2 linked regions of the Callithrix jacchus genome follow. The protein of the gene in region 1 purifies or fractionates together with the protein of each later gene. This does not show direct contact. Links are inferred from orthologs where the notes say so. Each region holds a gene or a part of one and is shown on either strand. Other genes may lie near its edges. The genes, in order: NELFB and NELFA.

The links.
Region 2: the proteins of NELFB (region 1) and NELFA purify together in Homo sapiens (affinity purification with mass spectrometry; 8 studies listed by BioGRID and IntAct, counting the BioPlex papers as one, with this or other methods). This does not show direct contact. The link is inferred for Callithrix jacchus from reciprocal best matches to the Homo sapiens genes NELFB and NELFA.

What each region holds. Positions count from the first base shown.
Region 1 is NC_133502.1:185,669,471-185,673,271, forward strand, and holds part of NELFB (negative elongation factor B), read left to right. Parts: intron 1-619; coding exon 620-722; intron 723-995; coding exon 996-1,091; intron 1,092-1,504; coding exon 1,505-1,647; intron 1,648-1,761; coding exon 1,762-1,868; intron 1,869-3,801. UniProt on the Homo sapiens protein: Essential component of the NELF complex, a complex that negatively regulates the elongation of transcription by RNA polymerase II.
Region 2 is NC_133504.1:191,136,582-191,140,814, forward strand, and holds the start of NELFA (negative elongation factor A), read left to right. Parts: upstream 1-1,365; 5' UTR 1,366-1,380; coding exon 1,381-1,590; intron 1,591-2,236; coding exon of another isoform or gene 2,237-2,282; exon of another isoform or gene 2,283-2,607; intron 2,608-4,233. UniProt on the Homo sapiens protein: Essential component of the NELF complex, a complex that negatively regulates the elongation of transcription by RNA polymerase II.

The sequences.
Region 1 (3,801 bases):
CGACTGGCTAATTTTGTATTTTTAGTAGAGACAGGGTTTCACCATTGGTCAGGCTGGTCTTGAACTCCTGATCTCAGGTGATCTGCCCACCTCGGCCTCCCAAAGTGCTGGGATTACGGTGTGAGCCACTGTGCTTGGCTGTTTTTTTAAAATTCTTTAATTTGAAAGGTCTTTGAGTGCATTAAGGACAAATTGCGAACCTGAATTTTTTTTTGTGGTAATGGAGTCTTGCTCTGTCACCAGGCTGGAGTGTAGTGGTGTGATCTGGCCGCCTCCGGGTTCAAGCGATTCTCCTGCCTCAGCTTCCTGAGTAGCTGGGATTACAGGTGTGAACCACCATGCCCAGCTAGCTTTTGTATTTTTAGTAGAGATGGGGTTCCACAATGTTGGCCAGGATGGTCTCAATCTCCTGACCTCGTGATCTGCCCGTGTTGGCCTCCTAAAGTGCTGAGATTACAGGTGTGAGCCACCGCACCCAGCCACCTTAAGCTTTTTTTTAAGAAACCCAGCATGTGGTGGGCGTTCACTGCCAGTCCTGGAGGCCACCCCTCCTGAGGACCTTGCCGCTGATGGGAGGGGCAACAGGTGTTGCATTAACGCCAAGGCGGCCTCCTTCCAGGGACCTGTCCATGATCCTGTGTGACCCCTTTGCCATCAACACGCTGGCGCTGAGCACAGTCAGGCACCTGCAGGAGCTGGTTGGCCAGGAGACGCTGCCCAGGGTGAGCTTGGGCTTCACCAGCGGCTGCCGGGGCCCTGTGGCTGCCCCGCTGGCTGCCCTGGGTGGTCAGGGGTAGGGACTTTGGTGGCCCATGTAGAGTCCCGTGCTTCCCCCCGTGAGACTGGGTTTCACCCTGTGTGTGGGGCCAGTGATCCCAGTCCTGTGGACCTGGCCATGAGCACCAGAGACCCTGCTGGGTAGAGAGTGGGGTCAGAGGAGCTCCGCGCCCAGGACATGCCGCCCGGAAGATGCGCTGAGCCTGTGCTCCCTGCAGGATAGCCCCGACCTCCTGCTGCTGCTCCGGCTGCTGGCGCTGGGCCAGGGAGCCTGGGACATGATTGACAGCCAGGTCTTCAAGGAGCCCAAGATGGTAACGAGCCTCCTGTGGGGCAGAGTCACAGGAGAGGTTGTGGGCTGGACATGGGGTGGAGGGAAGGTGGTAGCAAGGTGATTTTGGAGGCCCCTTTGGTCCCAAAGCTTCCTTTCTGGAGGTGCCAACCTTCCTTTTGGGAAAATGCCCACCAGGGGTGTTCTGGGGTCTTCACTGACTGCGGCTGGCCACGGGGTGGCTGCTGCTCTTTGTGGATCCAGGCCCAGAAGGGGGTTTGAGGAGATGGCCCTGGGTGGGGGACTTGGGAGGTGGGAAGAGGGGCCTGGCGACCTGGAGAGGAGGGTTGGGGTGGTAAGATGTTGGGGGGGGAGCAGGAGGGCCAAGGGCAGGGTGTGTGTCAGCTGGAGTGCGGGATGTGGGGCCCAGGCCCCTCACGGCCTCCCTCCTCCTAGGAGGTGGAGCTCATCACCAGGTTCCTCCCAATGCTCATGTCCTTCCTGGTAGACGACTACACTTTCAACGTGGATCAGAAACTTCCGGCTGAGGAGAAAGCCCCGGTCTCATATCCAAACACACTTCCCGAAAGCTTTACTAAGTATGGGCTGCAGGGCTGAGGGGCAGGGGTGGCACTGTTCCCCAGGGGCTGCTGCAGGGTTGGTCTTGGGTCGAAGTGGGGGCTGACAGGGTGCTGATGGCGCCCTGGGCACAGGTTTTTGCAGGAGCAGCGCATGGCCTGCGAGGTCGGGCTGTACTATGTTCTGCACATCACCAAGCAGAGGAATAAGAATGCACTCCTCCGCCTGCTGCCGGGGCTGGGTGAGTGAGTCCTGACTGAGGGGCTGGGTGAGTGCTGACTACCGGGTCTGGTGAGTGCTGTCTGCCGGGGCTGGGTGAGTCCTGACTGTCGGGGCTGGTGAGTGCTGACTGCCGGGACTGGGTGAGTCCTGACTGTCGGGGCTGGTGAGTGCTGACTGCCGGGACTGGGTGAGTCCTGACTGTCGGGGCTGGTGAGTGCCGACTGCCAGGTCTGGTGAGTGCTGACTGTCGGGGCTGGTGAGTGCTGACTGCCGGGTCTGGTGAGTGCTGACTGTCAGGGCTGGGTGAGTGCTGACTACCGGGACTGGTGAGTGCTGACTGCTGGGGCTGGGTGAGTCCTGACCGTCGGGTCTGGTGAGTGCTGACCTCTGGTGAGTGCTGACCGTCGGGACTGGTGAGTGCTGACTGCCCGGGCTGGGTGAGTGCTGACTCCCGGGGCTGGTGAGTGCTGGCTGGTGGTGCCTGGCGCGCCCACCCTGTGGCAGCTGCCGTGTGTGATCCTGCCCAGGGTGCAGTCCCAGGCCCCCAGGAGCTGCCATCTCCCCAGATCACCTCCGACTTTGCTAGCTTTGTTTTCACTTTTTTTTTTGAGGCAGAGTCTCGCTTTTTTGCCCAGGCTGGAGTGCAGTGGCACAGTCTTGGCTTACTGCAACGTCAGGTTCCCGAGTTCCTCAGCCTCCTAAGTAACTGGGATTACAGGTGCCCGCCACCACACCTGGCGAACTGTTATATTTTTGGTAGAGAAGAGGTTTCACCATATTGGTCAAGCTGGTCTCCAACTCCTGACTTTGTGATCCACCTGCCTTGGGGTCCCAAAGTGCTGGGATTACAGGCGTGAGCGTCCGCGCCCGGCCTTGTTTTCACACGTTTTTGTCTGCAATCTGTTTTACTAGAAAGGGAGAGGGAGTTCAACTTTGTACTTTCCAACAAAAAGGTGATGCAAGAGCTGTCTTTATTTTATCCAGACTGGCAAGGGGTGTGGGGCCCCTCGGTGCTCAGAGGATAGAGCGAGGGGGAGGGAGGGAGAGCACCTGTCTCAGTTCCCCACCCCAGGCGGTGACAGGCCCTCTTCCCCCTGGGAGCCTCCTTGGGGATGGTTGTTGCAAACTAGGAAAAAGAGGAGGGGTCCAGATGGCCACCTTCAGAAGTAGAGCTGCAGGTCCCATGGGGGAGATGGGACCACTCTGGCCATGTGGCCCCCACTGCGGCTGTGACACGGACCCTGGGCCCTTCCCTGCTGACTTGTCTGGGGTTTGCCGACTTAGTGCGCCTTGTGCTACTCTAACAGAGACTCCAGACGGAGCAATTTAGAAAGAGCCGGGATGGCCGGGCGCAGTGGCTCAGGCCTGAAATCCCAGCACTTTTGGAGGCCAACACAGGCGAATCACGAGGTCAGGAGCTGGAGACCAGTCTGGCCAACATGGTGAAACCGCACGTACAAAAAAATACAAAAATTAGCTGGGCACCATGGCAGGTGCCTGTAGTCACAGCTACTTAGGAGGCTGAGGCAGGAGAATTGCTTGAACTGGGAGGTGGAGGTTGTTGTGAGCCGAGATCGTACCACTGCACTCCAGCCTGAGTGACAGAGCGCAACTGTCCTGAGAAAAAAAAAAGCAGGGACTTCTCACAGTTCCGTAGGCTGGGAAGTCCAGGGTCTGCATCTGGCGGGCTTTTTCGTACGGCATCCTATGGGATGGGCAGGCAAGAGAGCAGGGGCAGGGGAGACTGAGCCAGATGCAGAGCCAGACAGAGGAGAGACCCAGAGGAGAGACAGAGATGCACAGACCAGATGAGAGACACAGAGGAGAGACAGAGACACACAGACCAGATGAGAGACACAGAGGAGAGAGAGACACAGACCAGATGAGAGACTCAGAGGAGAGACAGAGACACACAGACCAGAGGAGAGACACAGAGGAGAGACAGAGACACA
Region 2 (4,233 bases), on another chromosome or scaffold:
CCCACTTATGTCACAACTTCACCCATTAGTCTATGACTTGTCTTTGCTGAATCAGATACTTTTAAATAATGTAGGAAATATGCTCTTAAATTTTATGTGCTATTCGCCATGTAATGGTTGTGGACATGACAGTTTTTGGGGGAGGGTTCTTTTTTTCTTCTTCTTCTACTTATTCATCTAAGACATGACACAGTTTTAAGAGTAATCTCCATCATCCACATTGTCTCTATCACTTTCTTCAGTTTAACCAGGCAACAAAACCGCCGCTCCAGCCCTGATCTGTAGCATTCGCTGGTTTGCGGAGTTCAAACTGGCCGAGCCGCCAGGGCCAGGGCACTGCTAGCATCCGGCTCCGCCCTTCTCACCCGGCGTTCCCACCGGCCAGTGGCAAGAGCTGTGAAGAATAACGAAAAGACCTTTTTAAAAAAGAGATTGTAACACAGAGACCAGGCCAGGCAGCCCGGGTCTGTAACACCCCAGCACTCTGGGAATCAGAGGCTTGACGTCAGGAGTTCGAGACCAGCCTGGCCAACATAGGAAGAGCTCCTCAAAAAGGCAAAAGAGTAAAATGAACATAAGGAAATGAAGTTTAACTTTTACTAACGTTGGTATCTAATGACAAGCTCGTCACACTGTAAAGTTCACTACTAGCTCCCGCCCGGCGGCTCCAGCCCGAGTGGGAGCAGGGGTCTCCCCGCACTGCGGGGTCTCGGGTGCCCTGCGACTGCTCCTCGAGCGCCCTCCGACCCGACTGCTCAGCGCAGCCCCGTCCGCAGCGCCCAACGGGCAGAGCGGGCTCAGCGCGGGGACCGGGATCCCGCAGGCTTGTTCCGCAGGGCCGCGGCTCCTCTCCGCGCAGGTGCGGGGACCGGGCGGGGGGGGCGGGGCAGGCGCGGCGTCCACCCGGTCCGCGCCGAGAGCCAAGTGAGGAGAAAGCGAAGGGCGGACGGCGGGGCAGGTTCCACCGGGAGCCTCCGCCCCACCGGGCGAGCCGCGACTCCTCAGCGCTTGGCACCTGGCACTGAGAACGCCAGGACGCAGACCGGACCTCCAAGCGCGACCCATTCGTGACGTCATCTTTTGGGGTCTCTCCGAGAGCCGGCAGCGGGCGCCGCCATGATGCAATACGGAAGCCTAGAGTCCTTGCTCGGCGGCGCCCCGTCAATCCGGCTCTCGGAGCTGCCACAGAGCTTCCCGGAGACGCGGCCGCCGCCCAGAAGCGCTCTCGTTGGAAGCTCCGCTCGTGGGGCCGCGCTGCCTGCGCCACTTCCGCGGCCCGGAGGCCGCATCTCACTGGGCGCCGCCATGTTGGGGTCCTAGCCGGGGGCGCCTAGGTGTCTTCATAAGATGCCGGCGCTACAGCGCGCGCTTCCTTCCAAGATGGCGTCCATGCGGGAGAGTGACACGGGCCTGTGGCTGCACAACAAGCTGGGGGCCACGGACGAGCTGTGGGCGCCGCCCAGCATCGCGTCCCTGCTCACGGCCGCGGTCATCGACAACATCCGTCTCTGCTTTCACGGTCTCTCGTCGGCGGTGAAGCTCAAGTTGCTGCTCGGGACGCTGCACCTCCCGCGCCGCACGGTGGATGAGGTGAGGCAGGCGGGGCGCCCCACGGCCGCGCCTCCCTGGGACCCAGAGCCCCAACCTTCCCACCTCCGACCCTCACACCCCACTCCTGGCCTCGCTCCCGAACCTCCTCGGTCCCTCCTCCCACCTGCTCACCTCTCTGCAGACTGTCAGTCCCCCCAGGGTCCTCAGCTCCCCCCGCCCCCCCAGTCCTCACCTCCCACTGGGTCCTCATCCCCCGCCCCGATCTTCATCCCCCACCTGAGTTCTCATCCCCATCCTGGGTCCCCAGGCGCCCCCGTCGCACCTCAGCCCCGATCCGGGAACCCTCCCTACGGTGCTCACCTCCCCACCTCTCGTCCTCACCCTCACCTAAGTTTTCACCTCCCCTGGATCCTCAACCCCCTCTCCGCCGGGCCCGGGGTCCTCACTGGCCACCCTGGGCCCCCGGGTACTCGCCCCGGCTCCCCCGCCCCGGTCCTCAGCCGCCCACTCCCCCACGGACGGACTCTCGGGGGGGGGGGGCGCGCCGGCCCCAGCGGGATCTCCCATCGAGGTTTCCCGTCGGGGACGTGGCCCTGGTGGCCTGGGCGGGGGCGGGGATCCCGAGAGAAACCCAGGCGAGGAAGGGGCCGCCCGCTAGCCGGGTGTTCTTGTTCTCACCCCGCAGAGACCCCAGCCGTCCGGAGCGCCCTGTGTTCTTTGGACTCTTTTCTGTAAGCCGGTTTTGCGCCATTCCAGCGAGTGGGTGTGCGAAGCGCGTGGTCTCTCTTCCTAAACGTTCTACTGTGAGCTTTCCGTGCGAAGGAAACCGAGTGGCTTTGCAGACCGTCGAAGCCCCGTGGTTGCTTACAGGTCCCCGGCCACTGGTCTGTTGCCATCTCTCGTAGGTTGTCGTTGTTTTCGACTGAGATGTAACATGTATGAAAAGTACATGTTCGTTCACTTTTAACGAATAGTGATAGCATCGCGAGTCACCCCTGCGACCCTCGCACAGGTGGAGCGACAGAACCGTGCCTGTTCCTTGGAAGCCGCCCCTTGGTAATCACGGGCTTCTCCCTTTCCCTTCCCACACTTTGGAAAGGGAGTCGTTTCTGTGCCATCCCCCTGGTGTTAGCAGTGACGCGCCCCTAAGTGACACAGCCTGGTTGCCCGATTTGGATCGTGTGATGGGCTCACAGAGTGTGTGTTCTGTGCGTGGCATGCATGTGTCCTCTTGGTGGACCCCGGGACACTTTCATCCACACTGCAGCTGACGGGTGTAATTTTCACTGCTGTGTGGTATTCCTCTCTCTGAGTACGAAGCCATCCATTCTATCGCAGTGACACATTCAGCTTACGGCCAGTTTTTTGCTGTAGTAAATAATGCGGTTACTACATGATTGTGATGTATGTGTTCGGGTGTTTGTAAGCTTGGATTTCTCCAGGGTATAATATCTAGGAGTGGACATTGTGGGGATCAGGGGATTATGCCAGATTATTTTTCAGAGTGTTTTGTTTCTGTTTTTTGTTTTGTGTTGTTGAGACAGGGTCTCTCGGTGTCAGCCAGGCTGTGGTGCAGTGGTGCAATCATGGCTTACCTCAGCCTCTTGTGCTCCGGTGATGCTCCCTCCTCAGCCTCCTGAGTAGCTGGGATTACAGGCATACGCCTCCATACCCAACTACGTTTTGTATTTTTAGTAGAGACAGGGTTTCACCATGCTGCCTAGGCTGGTCTTGAACTCCTGACCTCAAGCAGTCTGCTTGCCTCGGCCTCTAAAGGGCTGGGATTACAGGTGTGAGCCATGGCACTCGGCCTGCTGTTTGGTTTTCTGTTTTGAGAATTGTATATTCAAATCTGCTTTTAAATTCTCTTCCCATTGTTTTGTTAAGGGCTTTCTTTTTTATTATTTCTTACCATTGTTTGTTATAGATAACAGTCTTTTTTCAGTTAGGACTCTCTCCCAGTTGTCCTTTGACTTAGCTTCCTGGAATTTTTTCTTTCTTTCTTTCATTTTTTTATTTTGAGATAGCATCTTGCTCTGTCACCAGGGCGGGAGTCTAGTGGTATAATCATAGCTCACTTTAACCTTGAACTCCTGCCTAAGCAGTCCTCCCTCCTCAACCTCTGGAGTAGCTGGGACTACAGACACGCCGCCACTATACCTGGCTAATACGTGTGTGTGTCTGTGTGTGTGTGTGTGTGTGTGTGTGTGTGTGTATGAGGGTCTTACCATATTGCCCAGGCTGTGTGTGTGTGTGTGTGTGTGTGTGTATATGAGGGTCTTACCATATTGCCCAGGCTGCTCTTGCCTCAAGTGATCCTCCTGCCTTGGCCTCCCATAGCGTTGGGATTACAAGTGTGATCCATGTGCCCAGCCTTCTTCCTGGAACTGTGGATGAAGAGCAGCTCCTGGTTTTAACAGAGGTGGGGTATTCATCAGTTCCCCATCATTGGTGCCAACTGTGTCTCACTGGAGGACATGCTGGGAACACTCCCGGTTATCTTGGCGAAGCTGTACATTGTGCCGTTCACACTTGAGTCTTCAGTCTTTGTGGAATTGACGACTGTGTGGAGCTAGGAGTCTAACTTTCCACACGACGTGCAGTTAGTCCCGCTAGTCCGCACCCAGCGTTGATTAGAATGACTGTCCTTTTCCATCCGTCTGCACTGACTTCTGCTGTGTG